3 linked regions of the Drosophila melanogaster genome follow. The protein of the gene in region 3 purifies or fractionates together with the protein of the main gene of each other region. This does not show direct contact. Each region holds a gene or a part of one and is shown on either strand. Other genes may lie near its edges.

Region 1 (6,010 bases), on a different chromosome or scaffold from region 3:
AAGGTGGCGAAGCGCGGCACCGCCACCGCCGTGGATTTGGATGACCCCTTTGCCGGATACATGGCGTCGGCAGCTGGACTGAGGGTCAGGAGATTCAGCTCCTGGTTTATCTTAAAGAGCTCCTTCTCGCGGGACAGAAGCTCGGCCATTACGGTGGGTCGATGCGAGGACGGTGGCTAAGTTTCTTGCAACAACGATTGTGATTTGATAAAAGACCTGGACAATCTACACACATTGAATTTTTCTCAGATTTAATTTGCTAGTAGCTCCACACGGCTATATCAAGGTTAATACTATAAATTCGGCTGGAGTTAATAAATTTTCCGGACGCCAAACAGTGACAGTTACCCCGGCTACGTAGTCCTGAATCCCCCGGCCGCCTTTTGGGAATCGGCCTGGTCCCTCCGGAACTCCATGTCCTGTTGCTGTTCAATGGGGTGGTTTTCGGTTTGTTCGATTGTCCCCCCGACGACTGTCGCTTGGACTTCCCCTTTTCGACGGATTGAGGAGTTGGAAAATTTTTTATTTAAATTTATTTATAGTCAATAAGGTGGGCAGGCCATGCTCTTAAGAGCTTGCTTAACTATTTTAACATAAATATATAATAAATAAATAATACATTTTAAATTATTTAAAAAATTTCCACTCATAAATATATGCTTATATTTTATTTGTGTAAAGTACCTATAATGCCAAATGGTGAGGGATTTACCCATCCCAGTCCTTGTAGAATTCTCTCACGTCTCAAAAGAATAATTCGTCCACTTCATCCAAGTTTTCCCCACACATGTATAACCGAAACAGAGGAACACGCATAATAATAATAAATATTGATAGAACTAAAGTATAAACAGCGACGGGCAGCTTCAAGGGAAATACGGCAGAAAGTAACAACAACTCGGGGTCTCCGAGGTGTCACAGCTACCTGTACTCGCACCTGGGATCTCGAGGTTGCAAGGGCGCTGGGTTCACAGAATGTAGAGACAAGTTCAAGATTTATGTGCCTACCGAGTAAAACAAAAGAAGAGCAGCATGTGTCCCACAGAGAAGCCTCGTCAGTCCAAGCAGTCAGCCCCACCAGTGGCCATATATGCCGTCATCAAGGTGTTCTGGTGACAGCCCACACACTGGCCATAATTGCACCGATCTGCTGCCAAGTTTGAGCAGAACCTGACTTCCAGTTGCGAGCGCACAGCTGTGGCCGAAAGCATGACGTTGGCCTGGAGGCGCTCCAAAGACACTTGGATACCACCTGGATACTTGGAAACTTAGTCTAGAGTGCTTCGAATCAAAGCATTTTTATAAATTTTAATCACAAACAAACATTAAAGAATATGGCAAAAAATATTTAAATTTAAAAAAACCTTAGCTAGGGAATATAGGGTTTTTTGTTGAGGTTTCCAGCCCAATGTTTCTCTATGTGCACACTTGCGATATGGGATGACCGCCGCCCGACCCTCTAATTATGCCGCACTCATTAGAAAGACAATCTGGACCCGCAGCCGTAGGTGTATTAAAGGGAGCCAGCGGAGCGTGGCCGCCAGTCCCGCCGGTCATCAAGTGCAGCTCAGCTGGACGACGTGTTGCTGCTGTAAAACTGGCAGCGACACCGCGGCCACCGCCAATTGAGGCGATACTATACTATGCCTTAGTGAAGAGATCGTCGGAAGAGCGCACATAGACTTGCCAATTGCTCCGAAAATCCCAGAGCGCCGCCACTCCGAATCTTGGCAAGACCGGTTGTCGGCCATCGTCTTGGCGTTTTCGTCGGAGTGCGAGTGGCTCGGTTTCGGGCCCAGTCAGTCTTGGCCAGGTCGGTGTGCGAGACACATCCACAGCGCTCAACGAACCTCTATCCCATCGATCCCATCGCTTCGATTTCGATTGCTATTCCGATTCGTTTCGATCCCGAATCGTGCGTGAGTTTTTCGAGTGGCGTAGCTCTGCGGTTATGGCTCCGTTTACCCGGTTCTAATTGGATCGTGCGTGTGGATTTGAAACGGCTTTCCGTGGCTCCAAGAGACGTTCATGGGTTTCCGAGATTTGAAATAGTTGCGGTTGTTGCTGTTGTGCCTGTGATGTTTCTGTCGTGATTTTCTCTGATTGTTGTTGCCCTTGGGAAGCGATTAAGCTCGACGGGTGGTTGAACCGGGCCAGTAAATACGTGCTGAATGATTTGTGAATCTTTTGAATATTTCGCGTTGTTTTCTGGGGAAGTGCAAAAGTGTCGGGAAGTTTGTTGCCTCAGTCTTTTGTGTTGAGACGGCGTAATAGCAGCAGCAGCAGCAGCAACAACAACAGCTCGGATTATTTGCCACAATTCGCACAAAGAGCAGCTCTTAGCGTCTCTTTACCACTCTTGGCCAACTCTTAAATGTGCAATTCCCGCAGCGTTAACATGTAAAACGAGTGTTGGCCACAAAACGAAATAATTATAGAGGAAGCCCGCAAAAAAAAAAAAAAACACTTAGGAAGTACATAAAAACAAAATCAAACTAATGTGAAACCAAAATTCGTGAAAATATCTAAAATCATCATCGTTCCGGGCAACCAGTTTAAGGCACAGCGAAATCGCAACAACGGACACATAACAAATTGGATTACGCAAAAAGGGCGAAGTTGGCTAGAGGTGAGTGTTGCGGAGTTGCTGTTTGAAAAGCCATAATCGAATAACCAGAAACCCGAAACCCGCAAAAAGAAACAGTTAAAATCAGGCAGAAAATCAAAGCTGTGCCGTTTGCAAAAACAAACCCAAAACAGCCTTAAAAGATGACTTCATAAATCGCCGACGCTGTGGATGTGCCAAAAATCCATCAGCCAAACCGGTTGGCTTCACTTCGCCTCGCTCGAAATTCGGAATTCACGGAATACCAATACTTGTACTCGGGGGAACAAATTGAAGAAGCGTTGCAATCTGTTTTCTGTGCAAATGAAATGGGCCTTATCTGAAAAGCGGCCTGAGAAGCCATCTGTCCGGGGATCTGAACCTGTTTGCCAAGGTTGCCAGTGGCCGATGTTGGCTGCCAAGTTCGCAGCCAGTTGCATCATCTGGGGACACAAATATGGCCGCGATGGGGTTGGCCATCGGCAATTGGCTATTTGAGTAGCCACATCACGGACATCCGTCTTCCATCCGCTTTTCCTGCCTTCTTTCCCGTTTTTCAATGCCCATTTCTGGATGCGCACCGCATAAGTAATGTGTCATCGGGCTCTTGGAATCAAAGGTCCATTCACATTTACCCCCACTCCGTGTGCGGCCATTATAAGCCAGAATCTGTTGCTAATTGGCTGACCCAACATTACCCACATGAGCTGAGACCGGGTTCTTCTCCTTGTGGAACTTTTAGCACTTCCACGGATCACACAGCCATAATTATGTTCGTTCCATTGTGTTCGGGTTGGCGTCTAAAGAAGCAATTAGAAATGTTGATTGATGGAGAGATGAACCCCGAACCCATCCCGATCCGACACTTGCATCATCTTTGGACTATGGGAATGTGATGCACGGCCTTTCCCTTTTCGGTGATGCATGGCCTATTAATTGGTTAATTTGTGGTTTGTTAGCCATCAAAATATTGTAGTTGGCCAATGTAATGGTCTTCATCTGCGTTGAATACAACGCCTTGACTAGTGAATAATGGCTCATCCGCCAAAGGCGTTTATCTCCAACTTCTGTTGGATATTTCCAAGTTCTCCGGCATTCTCGGAAAGCTTTGCGTCGAGGAACGCCAACGCAAGCGTAAAATTTGTATAATTAAAAGGCGAATCTGCGCCCGAGCTGCTCGAATACCAGTTTCTGAGCCATCGTGTAGTTAACTTGTTTATATAACAGCCAGACAACAACTCGCAGTGACCTTGAAGCGGGCACAAAATAAGGTAAAGACGGAAAATATGATTGTACGTATAATTTCGTATTATTTTGCTGCCTGGCGATGTGTGTGCTCAGCTAAGTGAGAGAAGTGAAGACATATGACGGATTTTTGGGGGTTTATGAACTAAGCCGAGAAATGCGTGTGGGCTTGATTGCCAAAAGCTGTGTGATTGATTTATAATCTCCCGCGGAAGAACTAACAAAGAAAGCGCCAAAAATGGTGAGGTCATTCAACCAGGCCAAGACCTTTTCAGCGTTAGATTTCCGCCTGCTCGTTGGTATTGATTTACAGTTGAAACGAAAGACTTAGGCAACGAACTTCGCGACTGCATTACTCATACGACACGTTGGCGCTCAGCACTAATTATGCAAAAACCCAAATGCTAGCGAAAGGCGTGCCCCAAACCCAGCCGTGAGTCACAAGCTTCGCTTGCCCCCCGTTAAACGGACACTCTGCATTGGGTTGCTTGTTTGTTTTCGGCCAAAATGAAAAGTCGTCTGGCTAGTTGATCCCCCACTCTCCAGCCTCCTCCACCACCACTGGCGAATTAAACCAACATTGGCAAACTCAAGCGGACTTAAATGCAGGCTTTTACCTTAGATCAACCCCACGCAAAACCCCGCGACTGCAGTCGACCGACCACGAGGTTGTTCAATTCATTCCAAACACTTTCAAATCCAAGCCTTAAAAGGGGAGTGGCAGGCCAAGACTTTTGAACTGCGGACTGTGCTCGAAGGAAGTGGGCACAGAACTGTGGCCAATACTTGGTGTGTTAAGTTCTCAGACACTAAGATATAAGATAAATAAATTATTGTAATATAGTAGCGATCGTCTATGATATCAATGTCTAAGTTTAGCATTTATGACACTACAAGTGATTTATCTCAGTGAAGTTCTACGCTCATTAACTTCAAGTACGAGACTATTTATGGTTTAGAGGAAATCCTCCTCAAAAGTTAGTTACTTAAGTACTGAGCCGAGGAAACTTGCATAAACTTATTATGGGAAACGTAAGGTCAGCTCGGCCTGTCATTAATAAGCAATGCCCATTTCTCGAACTCATCAGTCGAGTCCCTCATCACAAACAATAATTAGCTTTAAAAAAAAGGGGGCTCAATGAATAAGTTTTAATGATGAATTTGGCTGATTCTGACCAGCAGTAGCTGCCAATGTACGAGCAGCTGGGAGGCTGGATTTTTAGTACTTCTAGACGCGAAACCCCAGCCAAGCAAAAACGGAACTACAAAACTAGTTTCAGCTGTGCCTTTGGGCTGAAAGAAAAAAAAACCATAAAAACAGCGGGTAACAATGGGCGCCAGTCAAAAGGCAAAAAGCACGGCAACAGCAAAAAGAGCAAAATAAATGGCTGAAACTGAAATATTGTAGACCCGGCTGATAAAAATCAAACACATTCATGTCTACAGCTCAGCTCAAGTCACGTTCAATGCGAATTTCTTTGCCGTTTGTTTTTTTTTTTTTGCTATTTCGTACATATTTTTTCTTCGTGGCAATAAGCAAGCCTGCGGCCACAAAAATTAGGCGTCAAAATGGGAGAGAAAAATATATTTAGGCAGCGCCGCGGGCCGAGCGATTGTGGGTGTCCAATCAGCGGTTTGCATATTGGCCAGTTGGTTTGAGCCCAATTGGACATCTTGACAAATGGCAGAGAAGCTCGCCATTTGCAGAGAACTTACATAACTTCGTGACAGCAGCAAGAGCAGTGACACGCAACGCATTGGGCAGTTTTTGGTCTTAAGCCCAAACTTGGTTCGCACAGTGTGTGGCAAGACCCGATGTCTCCACGCTCCAGTTTGATGCGTGTGGCAACAACCAGGTCAGCGCATTTGGCCAAGAGGGTGGAGTTGCGTTTTTCCACTTTAAGACCCCCTAATGATGCGCGATTTTCGAGTTCTCACATTGCCTTAATGGCCAATTGCCCATTAGAGCCTGGTCGGCTGTCGTTGGCCCAATCTATTAAATCTATAAACGGAATCGGCGTTGGCGTTTATTGCAATTGGCCAACAGCAAATTAACAGCATTGTTAGCTCATTTGAGGCGAACAATGGCTGCGGCGAGACAATTGCACTGACCTTGGGACAATCGCCGGGTGGCTATAGGTTCGTTCCGATCCGCTGGCT
Region 2 (9,171 bases), 3.7 Mb from region 3:
TTGTACGGACTGCCCAACTGATTCAGGTACATCTCCAAGCGAAAGTATGATCGCAAACTGTCCAGGAACCAGATAGCAATGGGTCTGCCCGTTAATCCACTTGGAGGTGGCGGATCCGTATCGGTTTCCGTCATCTCCACACGGTCATCCTCCAGCAGAAACTGAATTCTTCCCGTGCCCGATGATCTGCCCAGGGCGGCATCTATCAGATCGTTGTGCAGTCTTCTACTTTCCCGACTCGTGGGGAATTGCACCACAGCCAGTGGTGTGCTGGTGGCCATTCCATAGTAGTTATCTATGGCCCAAACGAGGGCGTAAACCAGGCTCACATTGTGCACGGCGCTGTGCAACATCGTGTTTCATCGGTGGCTCCTAGCAAACTGATGTCCTGCACTTTGGCCAACTCCATCGCATGACGGGTTTGCAACGCTGGAAATATTAATTGATGAGTGTGATGCCAAAACATTCTGATTACTAAAGGTTTTACATCGTAGAAAAAGTACTACTCGTAAATATTGTTTCATTATTATAATAATGATTTTTGTAAATAATTTGTTTTATGCATATTTGAATAGCAGTTCTCATAACACTTGGCATTTTTTTCTGTGCATCAGCTCGTTACTAGTATCTAAACAGGAATCACTTAACTGACGGGTCAAATTGCGTGCTGAAAGCTCTATCGGCGAAATCTGAAAATGCAAATGCACAATAAATTAACTTTAAATATATAAAATCCAAAAAGCCGTATACACATCGATGTTTATTGCTTTCACATTTCTTGTGTAAATACAAAAAGGGCACGGTAAATATACTTGAATGTAGGTTATGGAAAATATTTGATTACATTGGCAATATGCCAATAATTACTAAACATATTTTTTAACACCTTTGCATTGCTTTTTTTTTTTTTGCTTTTTGACAAGCCTGACATAATTTTGCAGAGCTCAAGGGTTATTCAAAAATAAATAAAAAAAAAGAGTTGTAAGATATCAATTATAGTCAAAAAATGTATTTGATTCTTTGCCATACAAAACCACACCTGTGTTGTGAATAATATTAAGATTTTAATTCAATGAGTTTTTTCTTAGGCAGCTTACGCATTTCAGTCGCCGGAATCGTGATTAAATGTGAGATAGCTGCGGCTCATGAGTAATTTTATAAAGATCAGAGTCTGCGTTAATCCGAAACCAAATCGGAGCCAGCCAAAGGTCGCTGTACCGAGTTTCGTTTCGCACTTTTTGCTGACCTCCACAAAAGCCACCCGCTGCGATGACAGAAGCTTTTGTTTCTCGTGTCGTGTCTACAAGCTGAACCACCGCTGACCTCAGCAAACCACGGTGGTGGTGTTGGTGGTGCTTCTGGTGACACATAAACCATAAGACGATCGCAAGAATTCTACGGATCGACGCTTGAAGGGCAGACACACCACGGCCCTCAACAAAAATCAGGGGCGGATTGCGCTGCAGTGTATTTCTATCTTTCATAATGACTCTTTAAATGTTATAATATTACCGTTTCCTTAAAGAAAGTTTTTGTTTAAATATTTATTTCAATTGTTTGTTTTTTTTTTTTTTAGTTGAGAATTATTAGTGGCAAAAGAGTGACGTGAAGATAACTTCCCCTATTGATTTCGCGGCTTTGTGGTATATTTTCGGCGCCTTCCGTGTGATTCCAGACCTGATTTCGTTCATACTGTCTACTGTGCATCATTTGCGCTGAATTCGTGGAAAATGGTGGTGAGCGGAATAGTTGGGCAAGGTTTTTTGCAGCAAATGCAGCTGCGACGGCTGCTGCGGTCTGTTTTTCAATTGGGGGCACACACACGGAAACACTGGCCGTACCCCGGTGCGTGTGGCGGACCCGGGTCCGGGTCACGATTTTGAAGACGTCTGCAGTTCTTCGCCGCCGACGCGGTGGCAAAAAATCTATTTGGACCACTAACCGGCGGCAGTCGGCAGTCAGTCGGCCAACGAGCTCCGGCGAACACAGATCGATCTTTAGCGATTTTTCCGAGTTTTGCCCAAATACAGGATGAGATTGTTTAGCCTTCTGCCGCTCCTGGCGCTTCTTGTCGTCCAGGCTGCCGGACAAAGTGAAGTAACCTCTGATGATCCTGCAACGGATGCTGGATCAACGACCAATTCCACCACGGACACCAAACCAAGGATTCCCAGTCAGGATGAGGTGAGTACGATTAGAGAGAATTAATCATTGAGTTTGTTTAATGCAATCCTCTTGATTATATTTTTCAATTCAGATCCTTGGCCAGATGCCGTCCATTAATCCCATCCGCACTGGCAATCCCCAGATGGACGCATTTTACATGATGTTCCCGGCGTTGGGCAGCCTGCTCAAGTGGGGCAGCCTTTTCCCAGCCTACTCGATTCTGGGCGCCATTCCCGACAATCTACAGCCTACAGCGGCAGCCTCCAAGGTGGTCCTTGTCCTGGCCGATGATGCGACGGCCAAGACTCGAGTTGCCCGTCAAAATCCGCCACCAAATCCACTTGGTCAGCTAATGAATTGGCCCGCTCTGCCGCAGGACTTCCAACTGCCTTCCATGGATCTGGGACCGCAAGTGGGCTCGTTTTTGGCCCAACTGCCTGCTATGCCTACCGTGCCTGGTCTTCTGGGTGCCGCTGCTCCAGTTCCTGCTCCAGCTCCTGCTCCCGCTGCTGCTCCTCCTCCGGCGCCAGCTCCAGCTGCAGATCCTCCGGCAGCACCTGTTCCAGATGCACCCCAACCAGCCATACTGGGACAAGCCGCTCTGCAGAACGCTTTCACCTTCTTTAACCCGGCTAACTTTGATGCCTCCAGTCTTCTGGGCCAGAGTGTACCCACATTTGCTCCTCCAAATCTTGATTTCGTCGCTCAAATGCAAAGGCAATTCTTCCCAGGAATGACACCGGCACAACCTGCTGCCGCTGGCACGGATGCCCAGGCCTCCGACATTTCCGAGGTAAGGGTACGTCCTGAGGATCCGTATTCGCAAGAGGCACAGATGAAGATCAAATCGGCACTTGAAATGGAGCAGGAGAGGCAACAACAGGCTCAGGTCAAGGATCAGGAGCAAGTGCCTCTCCTCTGGTTCCGAATGCCCACAACTCAGAATCAGGATGCGACTGAAGAAAAGACTCTGGAGGATCTGCGGGTCGAGGCCAAATTGAGGGCATTCGAGCGCCAGGTGATAGCCGAATTGAGAATGCTGCAGAAGATCGAACTTATGGCTAAGCAGATGAGGTCCAGCGCCGCAGCTCAAAACGGAGATTCACCCTACAGAATCAGTTATCCACTGAGTCGGACACCCATTCACAAGATCACCCGTGCTGATATTGAGCAAGCCCTTCGGGATGATTATGTCCGCCGATTGGTCAACAAGGAAGCGCAACGAAGGGCTAGAAATTCCGGCATAAACACCCAGAAGGCAAATGCCTTGAAGCGACAGGCCAAATCCCAGGATCAGACTCTGTCCAAGGAGGATATCGTCCAGATTATGGCGTATGCCTATCGCATGGCCAACGAACAGATGGAGAGCGAGAAGGGCAAGCAGGACAAGGTTTACGCGGCCTACAGGACGGAACAGAATCCAATGATGATGCAGCAAAGACAATGGTCGGAGGAGCAGGCCAAGATCCAACAGAATCAACAGCAGATCCAGCAAAATCCAATGATGATGCAGCAACGACAATGGTCGGAGGAGCAGGCCAAGATCCAACAGAATCAACAGCAGATCCAGCAAAATCCAATGATGATGCAGCAACGACAATGGTCGGAGGAGCAGGCCAAGATCCAACAGAATCAACAGCAGATCCAGCAAAATCCAATGATGATGCAGCAAAGACAATGGTCGGAGGAGCAGGCTAAGATCCAACAGAATCAACAGCAGATCCAGCAAAATCCAATGATGGTGCAGCAAAGACAATGGTCGGAGGAGCAGGCCAAGATCCAACAGAATCAACAGCAGATCCAGCAAAATCCAATGATGATGCAGCAAAGACAATGGTCGGAGGAGCAGGCCAAGATTCAGCATGATCAACAGATGGCACAACAGATGGCACAGCAAGGTCTCATGATGACGGAGCAGAGGCAAAGGCAGTGGTCAGAAGATCAGGCCAAAATTCAGCAGGCTCAACAGATGGCCCAACAGACACCCATGATGATGCCACAGATGCAACAAAGGCAGTGGACAGAGGATCCCCAAATGGTTCAGCAGATGCAACAGAGGCAGTGGGCAGAAGATCAGACCAGGATGCAAATGGCCCAACAGAATCCAATGATGCAACAGCAGCGACAGATGGCAGAGAATCCGCAAATGATGCAGCAAAGGCAATGGTCCGAGGAGCAGACCAAAATCGAACAGGCTCAGCAGATGGCACAACAGAATCAAATGATGATGCAGCAGATGCAGCAAAGACAATGGTCGGAGGATCAGGCCCAGATTCAACAGCAGCAGAGACAGATGATGCAGCAGACCCCCATGATGATGAAGGAGCGCCAGTGGGCGGAGGAGAACCCCCAGTCTGTCCAGCAGCAAGGGCCCATGATGATGCAGCAGCAGATGCCATCGATGATGCAGCGTGAAGTAGAGGACGAAGATAATAAGGCAGAGGATGACTTAGTTGGCGAGGCGGGACCCCAAATGCCGGAGAACGAAGGCACCGCCAGGCACAAAGGTAATCTCTTCGGAGTCTTTCGCAATCCTGACTCAGTGCCATCTGTCTCTCCCACAGTCGATGCCCTGGGAGTTGGCGGCAACAAGCGCAAGAAGTCCAAGTCCAAGTCGGCGCCGCCAACGGTAATTAACTATTACTATGCGGCACCCCAGCGTCCGGTGGTTCAGAGTTACGGAACAAGCTACGGCGGAGGTGGCTATGGATCGAATGCCTATGGTGTTCCTCGTCCAGTCAATTCGTATCAAAGTCAAGGCTACAGGGCTGCCGTGGGTAACGATGAGGTAGATGAGATGTTGCGCCAGCACCAGACAATGGCCAGGGTAAGTTGAGATTAGTGTTAAACCACTCGGATATACCAGACACCACTACAACCACACCACATTGAGCACCACAACCACACACACACACAAACACACACAGCCATACACTGGAACATGTAGACAGTTGCCTTCATTTGATCCATTTCATACGATTCATTCGCCTTTTTCTCATGGCATTAAACAGGCGACGCATTTCAGACAATAAACCCGAAGCAACCAGGCGAAGTCGGTGGATCGGAGAGCCAGAAGAGCAACTCTAATCCTCCAACGACGTTGACACCAGCTCCACAAGAGCAACCGCAAGAGCATCGAGTCCACAAAAGGTTAGCACATTTCCACAGGTTTGGGCGAGAGGCAGGGTTAAATGCGACCACATCCAAGGGTTGCGGATGTGGCAGGTTGGATTGTCTGTGCGGCAGGAGTTGTCGATGCGGAAGAAGAGGCTTGGAATCTAGAGTGGTTTCTAGTAGAACTTCGGGAACTTGCCAGTGCAAAGCCAGTCACCGGAACAAGCGTAGCGTTGAATATGGAACCTTGGAGACCATCGATGAGGGTTCTCTTAACGAACTTAGAAGAGAATATAAACTGGGACTAAAAGAGATCACGCTGAGTCCAGATGAAGATCCCGCCGAGGCCCTGATGCGCTACAATGCGGCCTCCATTCGCGAAGCTTTGGAGCGAGCCAGTATGGAACCGCTGGAGATCGGTGGGGATCAGTATGAAGAGGATGCGCAACAGGAGCCCATGGAGGAGGAGCAACTACAGCATGATCCCAACACAGAGCCCCAGTACAATCATAAGGACTTTGTGCGGCTAACCACTTCCACAGCATCTCCGATCACAAGTACCACAGAAGCTGCCACTCCAACAGGCAGTGACTCTACTTCAGAAGCAACTGTGACACCTGAAGTCACCACCACCACTAGCACATCCACAACAACAACAACCGAAAGCACCAAAGATGAGGGACTGGACATGCAGCAAGACTCACAGGCTGAGGCTGAGAGTTCTCATGTCACCAAGTCGATATCGAAGCAGGAGGCCGAGATTCATCAGCTGCACAGTATTGTGGAGGAGCTGAAGAATGAGATCCTTAAACTGAATTTGCGTTGCAGCACGATAATATCAAACAATGTGGCCAAAGAACCGGTCACAGAGAAGAACCCACCCGTGGTGGAGGAACCATCCAAGCAGGAGGATAAGCCAAAGGTGGAGGAGAAAGTGATTGCCGAAGAGCAAGCCCCAGTGGAGCAGGAGGAAGAGCTGGAAGAGGACGAGGATAGTACCTCTATTAGTACGACCACAGAGACTCCTTCACCAAGTGGTAGTTACTCAACAAAACCTGGACTTTCCCTTGGATCGCCTAGAGTGGATGAACAAAGTGGCTCGTCCAATAAACTGGACTACGACGACGATAACAATTGGCAACGCATTCTGGCCAATCGTGGCTATGACACGGACTACCTAACCAAATCCCATGAGCGTCAGTTTGCCCAGGGTCAAAACCTGGAGATGCCCAAGAACTGCAATTACGATGGAAATGGCAGCCAAGAGTATGGCCCCTATCCGGAGTTCCAAGCAGATGAACCCAGCACGGATACGGAGGGCAAGGCTAAAAGGGCTTTAAGTGTGAAACAACAGGCGCAGCTGCTCAATGCGGCCCTAAATGATAGTGGAAGCGATTCGAGCGATGGCACCACCACCACCACCACACCCTCTCCGTACGCGATGAGGGGAAAGTTTGTGAGACGGAGGAGCACGGCAAGAAGGGTTCCCATTCCAAAGATAGGAAAGGCGAGCGACGAGGTATGGGTACGATCTCCTCGTCAAGCGAAAATGCCCCAACGACCCAAGAAGTCCATGTCCAAGCCGAAAAAGCAGAGCTCGCAGGTGACTACGCAGGCCACCGTGAGCAGCACTAAGCTGGACAGTTTGGTGGATGTGCTCAAGGATCTGGTGCGCCTGCAAATTCAAAAGGAGAAAAAATCCAGCCTATTAAGAACCCAGAGCAATAACCTTTCGAAAACCAAACCCAAATCTATTAAGCCCGTCAAAGTCATCAAGCGAAAAAGGTTGCGCAGGAGGCAACACAAGTCTATTGCCACGACCATCAGGAGTCCCATTCAAACGAAAGCATAAGATTTCAGCCCATTTAACTAATTCACAGATCCCAACTAATCCTATACATAATTTAGATATAGTATAAGCATATTCACTATTCGTTCGCAATTCATTCATATCCATCCATCTTTCATTTGCATATCCCTCGTCCATATCGCCAGTCCATCATCAGCACCATCCGAAACCGAAATCGAAAACGCACCATCATCTGACCCCCAAGTGGGTTCCATTTTCACCTACGGCGAGGGATTGCTGCATCCGTTTATGGGTCTGCTGCCGGTGGAGAGGCCCGATGATCCGTGGAACCAGAAGCCATACGATCCTCACCATCCTCTCTACACGGGCGGTGGGAGCTACGATGCCTATCTGAGGGACGGTCGCCATCGAAGGGACACGCACATCATGGGTCAAGGTACGCAGCATGGCATCCTGACACCCGGCATGTTGGAGAGACTTCTTCGGATCAAGATGGATTTCCAGCGTAGATTTCCCCATTTGTACAAGGGTATGCTGAATCACCATACGAATCTTACCCGTGTAGAGGTACAGCCTCCGGTTCTGGGCAAGATTTCTAAGCCGAAAACTAAGACCAAGCCCAAGAATGAGGACGAACCCGTCTTCGAATTGGGAGCCGCTGAGCGTAGCCTGTTCGAGGACGAGACCAACGATTCTTTAGAGAAAGATCCCGAACCAGAACCGGATGAGGAGGATGACCGGGATGTGGAAGAGCCCAGCGAGAGCAGTGAACCTAGGGGATTCAGCAGCAAAAAAAGCCGGGATGAGAACGACATCGATTACTTCAATTTCGATGACGATGATGTTGATGATTGACTTTTATTATAATTGCCAATAAAAATTAATATTATAAATGTAGAAACAAGAACATTTTCCAAAAAAAGTAAGGGCTATCAACTCTTTTTAGCCAGCCTATAAATCAGTATCGTTAACAGTAAGTTAGTTTCCCAAGGGAATCGACTTTAATGTGATATGATTAACGCGATTGGTCCGGGCCATTACCAAAATTTCCCCGGGGATCTGAAGACTTCAGTACTCCAAAGTGGCCACATTAACACATTCCTTTGGCAACTCTTTAGCCATGAAGTACTGGTTATATATACTTTCTTGCTGCTCCTTGGTGGCCAGTACAATGGAATCCAGTTCGGATTGGGACTTGGCGGAAGCTCTGGCTCAAGTGGTGGCCAACTCGGAAATGGGTCGCTTCAAGACCTTGTACATATACACCCACACAAATTCCCAGTCAACTGGTGGCCATTTGGAGGAGCTGCTTGACCAGGTGCTGATGATTGTGCCTAACAATTTGCAGGCACGTAGGCTCTTGCTCCAGCAGTCCATGGAGTATAAACCATATGTCCATGCTGTCTTGGCTCTGGTCGATGGTCTTCCGTCTCTTTCGGCGATCTACGCTCGGATTCGAGCCACCCAGGATTTGTCGCACACACTGATATACATGTCCATGCCCACGGATGCATATGGTGAGGAGATGCAGGCGACCCTTCGATTTCTGTGGCGACTAAGTGTACTGAACGTGGGCGTAGTGCTGCGTCCACCTGGCGATCATATCCTCATGGTCAGTTACTTTCCATTCAGTGCGTTACACGGCTGCCAGGTAATCTCGGCCAATGTAGTAAATCGCTACCAAGTGGGCACAAAACGTTGGGCTAGCCAAGATTATTTTCCTAGCAAGTTGGGGAATTTCTATGGCTGTCTTTTGACCTGCGCCACTTGGGAGGATATGCCCTATTTGGTTTGGCGTCCCGATGGCAGTGGCAGCTTTGTGGGCATCGAGGGTGCTCTGCTTCAGTTCATGGCTGAAAATCTAAATTTCACTGTGGGTCTCTATTGGATGAACAAGGAGGAGGTGCTGGCCACTTTCGATGAGTCGGGCAGAATTTTCGATGAGGTGAGTCTTGGATCTAAATCCAGGTATTGTTATACAATTTGTGTAATTTTCAGATCTTTGGCCATCATGCCGACTTCTCCCTAGGTGGATTCCACTTCAAACCCAGCGCTGGCAGTGAGATTCCCTACTCCCAGTC
Region 3 (7,262 bases):
GTTCTGAGCAAAGAAAAGTGCTTAAACACTTATTTCCAACTATCAAATTCTTGATCACCTACCGACTGAGTCATCTTGCAATGATTTAACCAATTTTTTACTCTTCTCTGTAAGAATTTTATCACTTCTTTGGACGGGGGGGAAATTGTAGAAAGCGCTGCGGAGCACAAGGGGCGAAGAAACTGAGTTAATTAAATTCGACTTTCTGCGGTATTAGAACATTTTAAGAGGCCTCGCTGAGAAATTCTCCGCCAGCATCAGCTTTTGTGGTCCAAACCGGATGCGGTAATTGCTGGGAAGTCGACGCTGGACTCTTCTTGACTTTACCAACTTTGCCAAGAAGTTTGCGACGCAACAAACTCTGTCTGAGTTATGAATCTTCCCAGTCGATATAACTAACTTCACATTTGCTGCTAGTCAGTCCGGTTTAATGGGTTTAAAGCTAATTTCAATCTGCGTTTCTATGTTCTATCTTTTGGTCCATCATTTGTTAATCAGTTAATAATTATATAAGCTGTGTTTGCACCTTGTTTTTTTTCTTTCTAATTTTTGGTCTTAGGCCTAATTAGCTGATTATTTTCAATAGTTTCTTTACTCATTTCAGGAAATGTTCCCAAAATCCAAAGAATCATGGCAACCAAGTCTTATTTATTATTTAACAGGCAACTCTTGCGCAATAGTTATCAGCGTTTGTTTGTCCCAATTTTACGGCTCCAAAGTCAGGTGCCGGAATTTTAGGAGTATCTGCGATTGTAATTCCCTCATGTTAACTGAAAAATTTACGATATTTGACCAGCCACGGATATGGTCTGCTCTAAGGTAAAGTAAATATTGACTCTAGTCTCTTCTGGGAGATTGCGATAAGGTAAAAGATGATTTTAGTTTTCGTGGGATGTTATTTTCTTATATTTCCTTAGGTCTCTATTTGCTTAGCGTTCGTTTCAGGGTCGCCTATCATCAGGTACATAAGTGCAAGTGCTCAGGTAATTTGTCTGCCTAAATCTTGTGCTATCTATCATATAGGGAAACAACAACGATTTGATATGACCCTCTCGACTGATAAGCGGATTTAAGCTAAGTCAAAAGACCTCTGGTTAGCCATAATTGTGGCTTTATAATACAAACGCTTGCCGTTTGGTTACATTGGTATATTGCCAACTAAGCTAATGATATGTCAATTTTTTGGAATGATAGTTACCAGCCAGGTGGAAAATTTAGGGCATCACAAAGGTGATGATGTGACACAACTATTGAGATTAAAGGTGTTAATTCTATTTCTCCGGCTTAGTTTTTTCTTTTCAAAGGAGAAGCGGCCATAAATTTTCGACTTTAGCACAATTCGTGCGTTTGGGTTCTATTTCTAATTATAATACCAAATTGAAAAGCACATATTGGGAATTCGGGGAGCGTTTTTATACCCGTACTCACCTATTAAAGAGCAGCTGCAGAGGAGCAGCGCCAAAAAGACGCCGACTGAATTTGGCGGCAATTCACCCATTTTTATCGCTGTTTTTGCAGTTGTAGTAGTTTTCTAGTTTTCCCCGCTCGCAAATAGCTCTCGTTTTAACTTCTTTGGTTTGTTTACGGTTGCACACGAAAAAAATGTTTAAAAAATTTCAGTTTGTTTTCGCTGCTCGTGATTGCACAAATTATTCTATTCTGATTAACACTTTGCGTTCGGTGTCTTTTGTTTTTTTTTCTTTTGTCTGTTTCGGTGTGTGAATCTGAAAGTATATTGATAATGAAAGAAAGATGAATTAGCTAAGCTTTTAATAGTAATATAGATAGGGTTTTTTTTTAGTTTAAATTCATGGTAACTGGCTTTTGTGGTTAGTCAGATTGGGCCTTAGAAGTTCATCTGCATTTGATATTTGTCATAACTTTAGCATTTTAGCTTCAAATGGCAAATGTTGGCATTTATGGGCGAGGAGAAGAGGAAGAAGGCAGTGCAAGCGAGACAGCGCGAGCCGATGTTGTGTGCGTGTGTGCCTTGTCTCTTTTGCATTCTCTAAAATCGGCGGCGGCAGCGAAGAAGAAAAAAAATGAGAAAGGAAAACGAAGAAAATAAAACTTGCTGCGCCGCCGACTTCGCACATGTTGGCCAGTTTTTGTAACGGAAATTACGGTGCTCTCGGCAGTCGAAACACGTAGTGCAGGGGAAATATGGTAGGAGCAACACAGACACAAGGGGTAAGGGAGGGAAGGGGGGCTTTGGATAAGGTAGGAGAGGATTGCTTAAGCTGAATTTTATCTATAAGTTTGTGTTCTCAGTAGATCGTTATCTTTTGGGTTCGAGAGCGAAATGTATATTTCTTATCGGCACATAAGTTCGTGCGTCTCTCCAATAATTCATGACTCAAGCTTTGTCTCTCTCGCTCTCTTTCGCCTTCTCTCTCTCTCTATGTCTACTGAAGTTGCACCTATGCTGAGTGTCCTTGAATTGCAACAAGTTCTAAAGTACAGTTATCGCTCGCTTTAGAGAATATCGTAAACCAAATAAAAAACGGTTGAGTTATAGAATTGAACGTGACTTCAATGCAATGACTAATAATAAAGGTAGAATAAGTGATCAATAAAAGTTAATTTTCATTTACAGTGACGCCTTGCAAGCAGTGCTCTTTTTTTTTTTTTTTTGAAAACTCATAACAGTCCTAGCAACAAAAAATATTTGCATGCAGGCGAGGGAAAACTGTAGTTACTTCCTCGCGAGCTCGTCTTGCCACTAATCCCGCCCACTTTGCACAGCGGAACTTTCCCACCGCACCCCCTCATTTGGCTTACGGTTATTACAGTTACTGGATAATCGATATTTAGGGCAGGCCTTGACTTTTTTTTTCATAGGAACCGCGCGTATGTGTGTCTGCGGCACGCGAAATATTCTTGAGAATATTTCGCTTTCATCTCGCTTCATTCTTGCTTTTGGCAAATTGAGACATTGTTACAAAATACCCGCGAAGCAGTTTTAAATATTCATAAAGTTTCGAAAACGCTAATTATAATGAGAGACTTGGCCAGAGGGGAAGTTCTGGCAACGGTAGAGTTTTTGTGAATCTGTTCAAGTTGCACAAAGTTTAGAAGTTTTCCACTTGATATTCGTGAATTATTAATGCTGTCAAATGATTTGATTTTGACTTTCGGCGCGACCGACAAATTGTAATTACATCTGCCGTTTTGATTGCCTAGAATTGGACGAACTCAATAGGATTTTGTAGTCTTAATTAAAATATGGCTCGGTTAGGTTTGATAAAACGCAATAAACTAATTTATTAATGCGAAACTAACATCTTGTTCGAAAAACTGCCAAAAGTAAAGCGGCAAAAGTTTTCAAATAAGCACTCTATGAAGTCGATGAAGTTAATTTACCAACTTTGAGTTTATTCCGACTTGTTAACAGTTTAAACAAATATTTTTAATCACATTAAAACTTTTGCAGAAAGCCGCAGCAAACGAAATAAACTTTTTGATATGCGACATAAAGGCAATTTTGACAGACAAAGGAAAAACGAAACCGACTGAAATTGGTCGTGAAATTTGAGAATCTATTCTTTTCTATTTTTTTTTTTTTTTGTTCTGTGGTTAACATTCCAGATTAGTTGTGGAATCAATTTGCCCGGCTTTTCCTAATTCTTAACGTGTTTCTTTTTTGTATGTTTCATATTTCCTATTTGCCAGCTGCAAGCGTGAGTCAATTTCCAGTGCACACTGTTGGTAGTAACAACAATAAAGTTGGCAGCGAAGCGGGCCCAAAAACCTGTTTTCCGTTTTATTTTTCTTGCTTTTCAGGTGATGTTGCTCTTTTTTTTCATATTTGTTGTATGCACTTTTCCAACTCGATTATTGGGTGAGTTTTCAAAGGGTTTTCATGGAGGTTTTCATTGAAATAACTTTTGCACGTGACTCATTGGAATCTTGGGCTAAAACAACAAAACAGCATAGACTCAGCAGAGCGAGAGAGATACATTTGTGTATTTTTTGTCACACGCTAAAAAAAAAGTTTTGAAAAAAAAAATATGTACAAGAATGCCGCCAGTTTATTTTTGGTTTTTGTGGAGCTGTCTCGACATGTTTTTTGAGTTCTTCTCATGCACGGCCAAATAATGGCTGTTATGAGCAGTTATTATTATTATTTATTATTACCAATTTCTCATTGTTTAACTGGCACACTAACACACACGCACACGACGCGCCACGACCGTTAACACATACGGTGAAGAGAGCGCGAGAGAATGCGAGTATGAAGAAGAAGAACCACTTCTGTTGTCTCTATTTGTGTTTTTCTTTCTCTCAGCAAGCAGAGCACTCGACGCGTTGGCCGTCGAAACGTAACTGAAAGCACCGCTAGCGCTGCCGCCGCAAAATACCACAGCTATTGCCGCGCCACAAGATCTGGCAACCCCAAATGTTGCCAGCCGATGCGACGCAGCATGTTGCCAACCGAAAGTAATCAAGCAAGGGAGATGGTAGAAGTTTAAGAAGTAAAGTGCATAGATAATAGCAATTTATAAAACCGAAAATCTGAGCTCTTTTAAAATGAAATTAATTTACATAAATAACGTAATAAGTGCACAGGAATATTAATATCAGTTATTGGCCAAATATGTTTTCAGTGGAGACTAAAAGAGATGGAGAGTGTCTACCGTTAGGCGGCGAAGAATTCAGCTCTTTTCTTCTCGAGTGTCAGCAAGGTCAAACGACAATGGGCGGAGAAACTGGGCGGTGGCACTTAAGCCCCATTTCGTCACTTTTACGAGCGACTGGTGTCAGGTTTTTTGACACGTTTTTGTTGCCCAATCTTTGTGGAGCTTTGTCAACAAACTTTCAGAACGAAGCATTAAAAATGTAACTACTTTATTCGGGGGCACATTTAAAAGAGCTACACGTATGTACATATATTACGCAAAGTGTGCTATCGCGAGGAGATGATGTCTAGCTAAGGTTTTTCCGATTGATATGCAAGATGAAAATCTCACACTTCGATAAGTTTTGTAAGAATATTCGGGAACACTATCTAAACATCCTTCGAAGTTAGCAGCATGTTGCCGAAACCTCTTGCAACATTTCGAAATGAGGAAAACCAAAGTTTAACGTCTTATTTTTCGGCACAGCATTTTACGATCTTGCTGTCGAAGTAACCGACGAATGCTGGGGGGAAAATCGGGCGGGTATGCAAGACGAATTTTCCGGCTGGCAACATTTCGGATATTTCGGAGACGGCCACTTGTTGCCCGCGCAACATCGAGATTCGATTCCAAACAAAAACTTCTTTTATTTTCAATTGCCGCGCTGTCAATTAAACCAGCCTGCGGAAAAATCGTGACGAGGGGGGTGATTTTCCCCGGTTAAGTGGAAACAAAAAAAAAAATCGCAGTTACGTTTGAATGCGCTGTGTGCAATTTACTAAATGAAATTGCGTATAGATGCCAATGCGATGTATTCTGCAGTTATCATTGTTGTTTTGTTTCGTTTGTCGTTTGTGTGACGGAGCAATTTATCACCGTATACAGAGGGGATATATGTACCTACATATATCTATATACCAGCGACACCCCTCCCCCGCCAGAATCACCAATAAGTGATTTATAGGATTGTTATTTTGTCGTTGATGTCGCACTTTCGCTGCGCTTTATTTATTGCTCGGAATCTTCCTCTATCTCCCACACACAAAACAAAAACCCGATACGCCCGATTCGCCCGATTTGGAGTGCGTTAATTTTATTTCACAGCCGGCCGAATTTTCCGAACTTTTCACAGATGAATATTGAATTGATCGGCTGGCTGTGGGAACTATGGTGACAATCGTTCTTCACGCTTAATTTGCTAATGCGTTCGACCTTTGACCCATGATGTGCCAACGATGTGAACATTTTGGCTATCAACAAATAGGATTTAACACGATTGCATTTAAATGTATTGGCGATTTAAAAAGCAAGAATGTAATATAAAGAAATTAGAACATAAATATAAATAAATAAGTAATTATTTTAAGAATCTTTGGTCTTGGCACCAGTAATCTGATGTAAAAACAAAGGAAATATGCCCATTTCCCGCCGAGAACTGCAATTATTTAACAATTATGGGAACCAGTGAACAATGGCGATAGTTTATATGTTGTTCAAGCCTACTTGAAATGGTTTCGCCTGACCTGTGACCCCGAAATCCGACTATCTGCTACCTGATTTGAAGCCAGCCAGCCAGACAAATGAAGACGTCGATTTAGTTTTCGGATGGGTGGTCCTCGAATCAATCTCCAGCTATCTCGGCAATTCTGTTCCAATTTGTAGCCCGGATTGAGTTCGTTTTTTTTTTTTTTTTTTTTTTTTGTTGAACACCTGCATTTTTTGGTGGTGCATCGAGAATAGGTTCTCAAATGACGGTAACCGCAGCCCGAGATCATTAGAAAATGTTTAATAACTCTATAAGCAATTAGATACGAAGAGCTCCCCGCGCAATCCGCACCATTTCTGACAGGTTTTGTCCGCACCGAAGAACCAAAACTCAATTCCAATCTCGTTCTTGGCCAGAAACTTAAGCTGGGAATCATTAGTCCACAGGAACGACAGCCATTGAGCGGCCAAAATGATGAATTATGTTTTCAAATCGAACTCACAAAGCACAAATGTCGGGTACAGATACAAAGTGCATATCTATAGATACACTGCGGCACTTACATACAAATATGGACCAAGGGCCGGAGGTGCTAACGTCGGATGCCCAATAATTAATTGATATTTAAGCATTCGCATCATGAGTTCATTTTACCACGACTTGACGGCAGAAATCAAAGATGCACTCGGCCTGGAGAAAACAAACAAAAATTTATGGTATTATGCCTCTAACTTGGATCAGATTGATTCTTGAAGGATGTTGGCCCCAACTGAATGCCATAAATTATATTATAAGATAAAATCTTATTTACTTTATAATCACTTGTTTTACATTAAAAGAGTTTTAAGGGATCGTTTGTACTATTTTCGTAATGACACTTCTGCTGTTTTTCTAGGAGTTTATTACATTTAAGCCCTCGGTTGCCACAAATGGGTTAATGAGTATCTATTGCCATGGACATGGAACATGGAAACCCCTCAACTTTTTGGAGTGCGCCCACCGAACCCTTCTGTTATTATTATACCATTAAATGGCCCACTCTTTTCTCCAAATAACCCTAGACCCCAGGAGAACCAAAAACAAGTCGATGAGCCTCATCGCTTTGGTCTTTTCAAAAAGCAGTCTCATTAAACCATCAGGACAATAAATGGACACGA

The links. Proteins that work in one complex are often made in the same cells at the same time.
Region 1: the proteins of Fas2 (region 3) and pio purify together in Drosophila melanogaster (affinity purification with mass spectrometry, with the first as the bait; 2 studies listed by BioGRID). This does not show direct contact.
Region 2: the proteins of Fas2 (region 3) and dec purify together in Drosophila melanogaster (affinity purification with mass spectrometry, with the first as the bait; 2 studies listed by BioGRID). This does not show direct contact.

Annotation. Positions count from the first base shown.
Region 1 is NT_033778.4:24,579,450-24,585,459, forward strand, and holds the start of pio (piopio), read left to right. Parts: upstream 1-1,795; 5' UTR 1,796-1,919; exon of another isoform or gene 1,920-2,391; 5' UTR 2,392-2,629; intron 2,630-6,010. Other genes in the region: CG4681 (uncharacterized protein), read right to left, coding at 1-149.
Region 2 is NC_004354.4:7,866,008-7,875,178, reverse strand, and holds dec (defective chorion), read left to right. Parts: upstream 1-1,956; 5' UTR 1,957-2,031; coding exon 2,032-2,184; exon of another isoform or gene 2,185-2,257; coding exon 2,258-4,673; intron 4,674-4,730; coding exon 4,731-4,993; intron 4,994-5,177; coding exon of another isoform or gene 5,178-5,191; coding exon 5,192-7,132; 3' UTR 7,133-7,275; coding exon of another isoform or gene 7,276-7,945; 3' UTR 7,946-7,980; downstream 7,981-9,171. Other genes in the region: Ir7c (ionotropic receptor 7c), read right to left, coding at 1-353; Ir7b (ionotropic receptor 7b), read left to right, coding at 8,211-9,035, 9,089-9,171. UniProt on the Drosophila melanogaster protein: Required for proper assembly of the eggshell.
Region 3 is NC_004354.4:4,201,763-4,209,024, forward strand, and holds the start of Fas2 (fasciclin 2), read right to left. Parts: upstream 4,332-7,262; 5' UTR 4,138-4,331; intron 1,725-4,137; 5' UTR 1,499-1,724; coding exon 1,429-1,498; intron 1-1,428.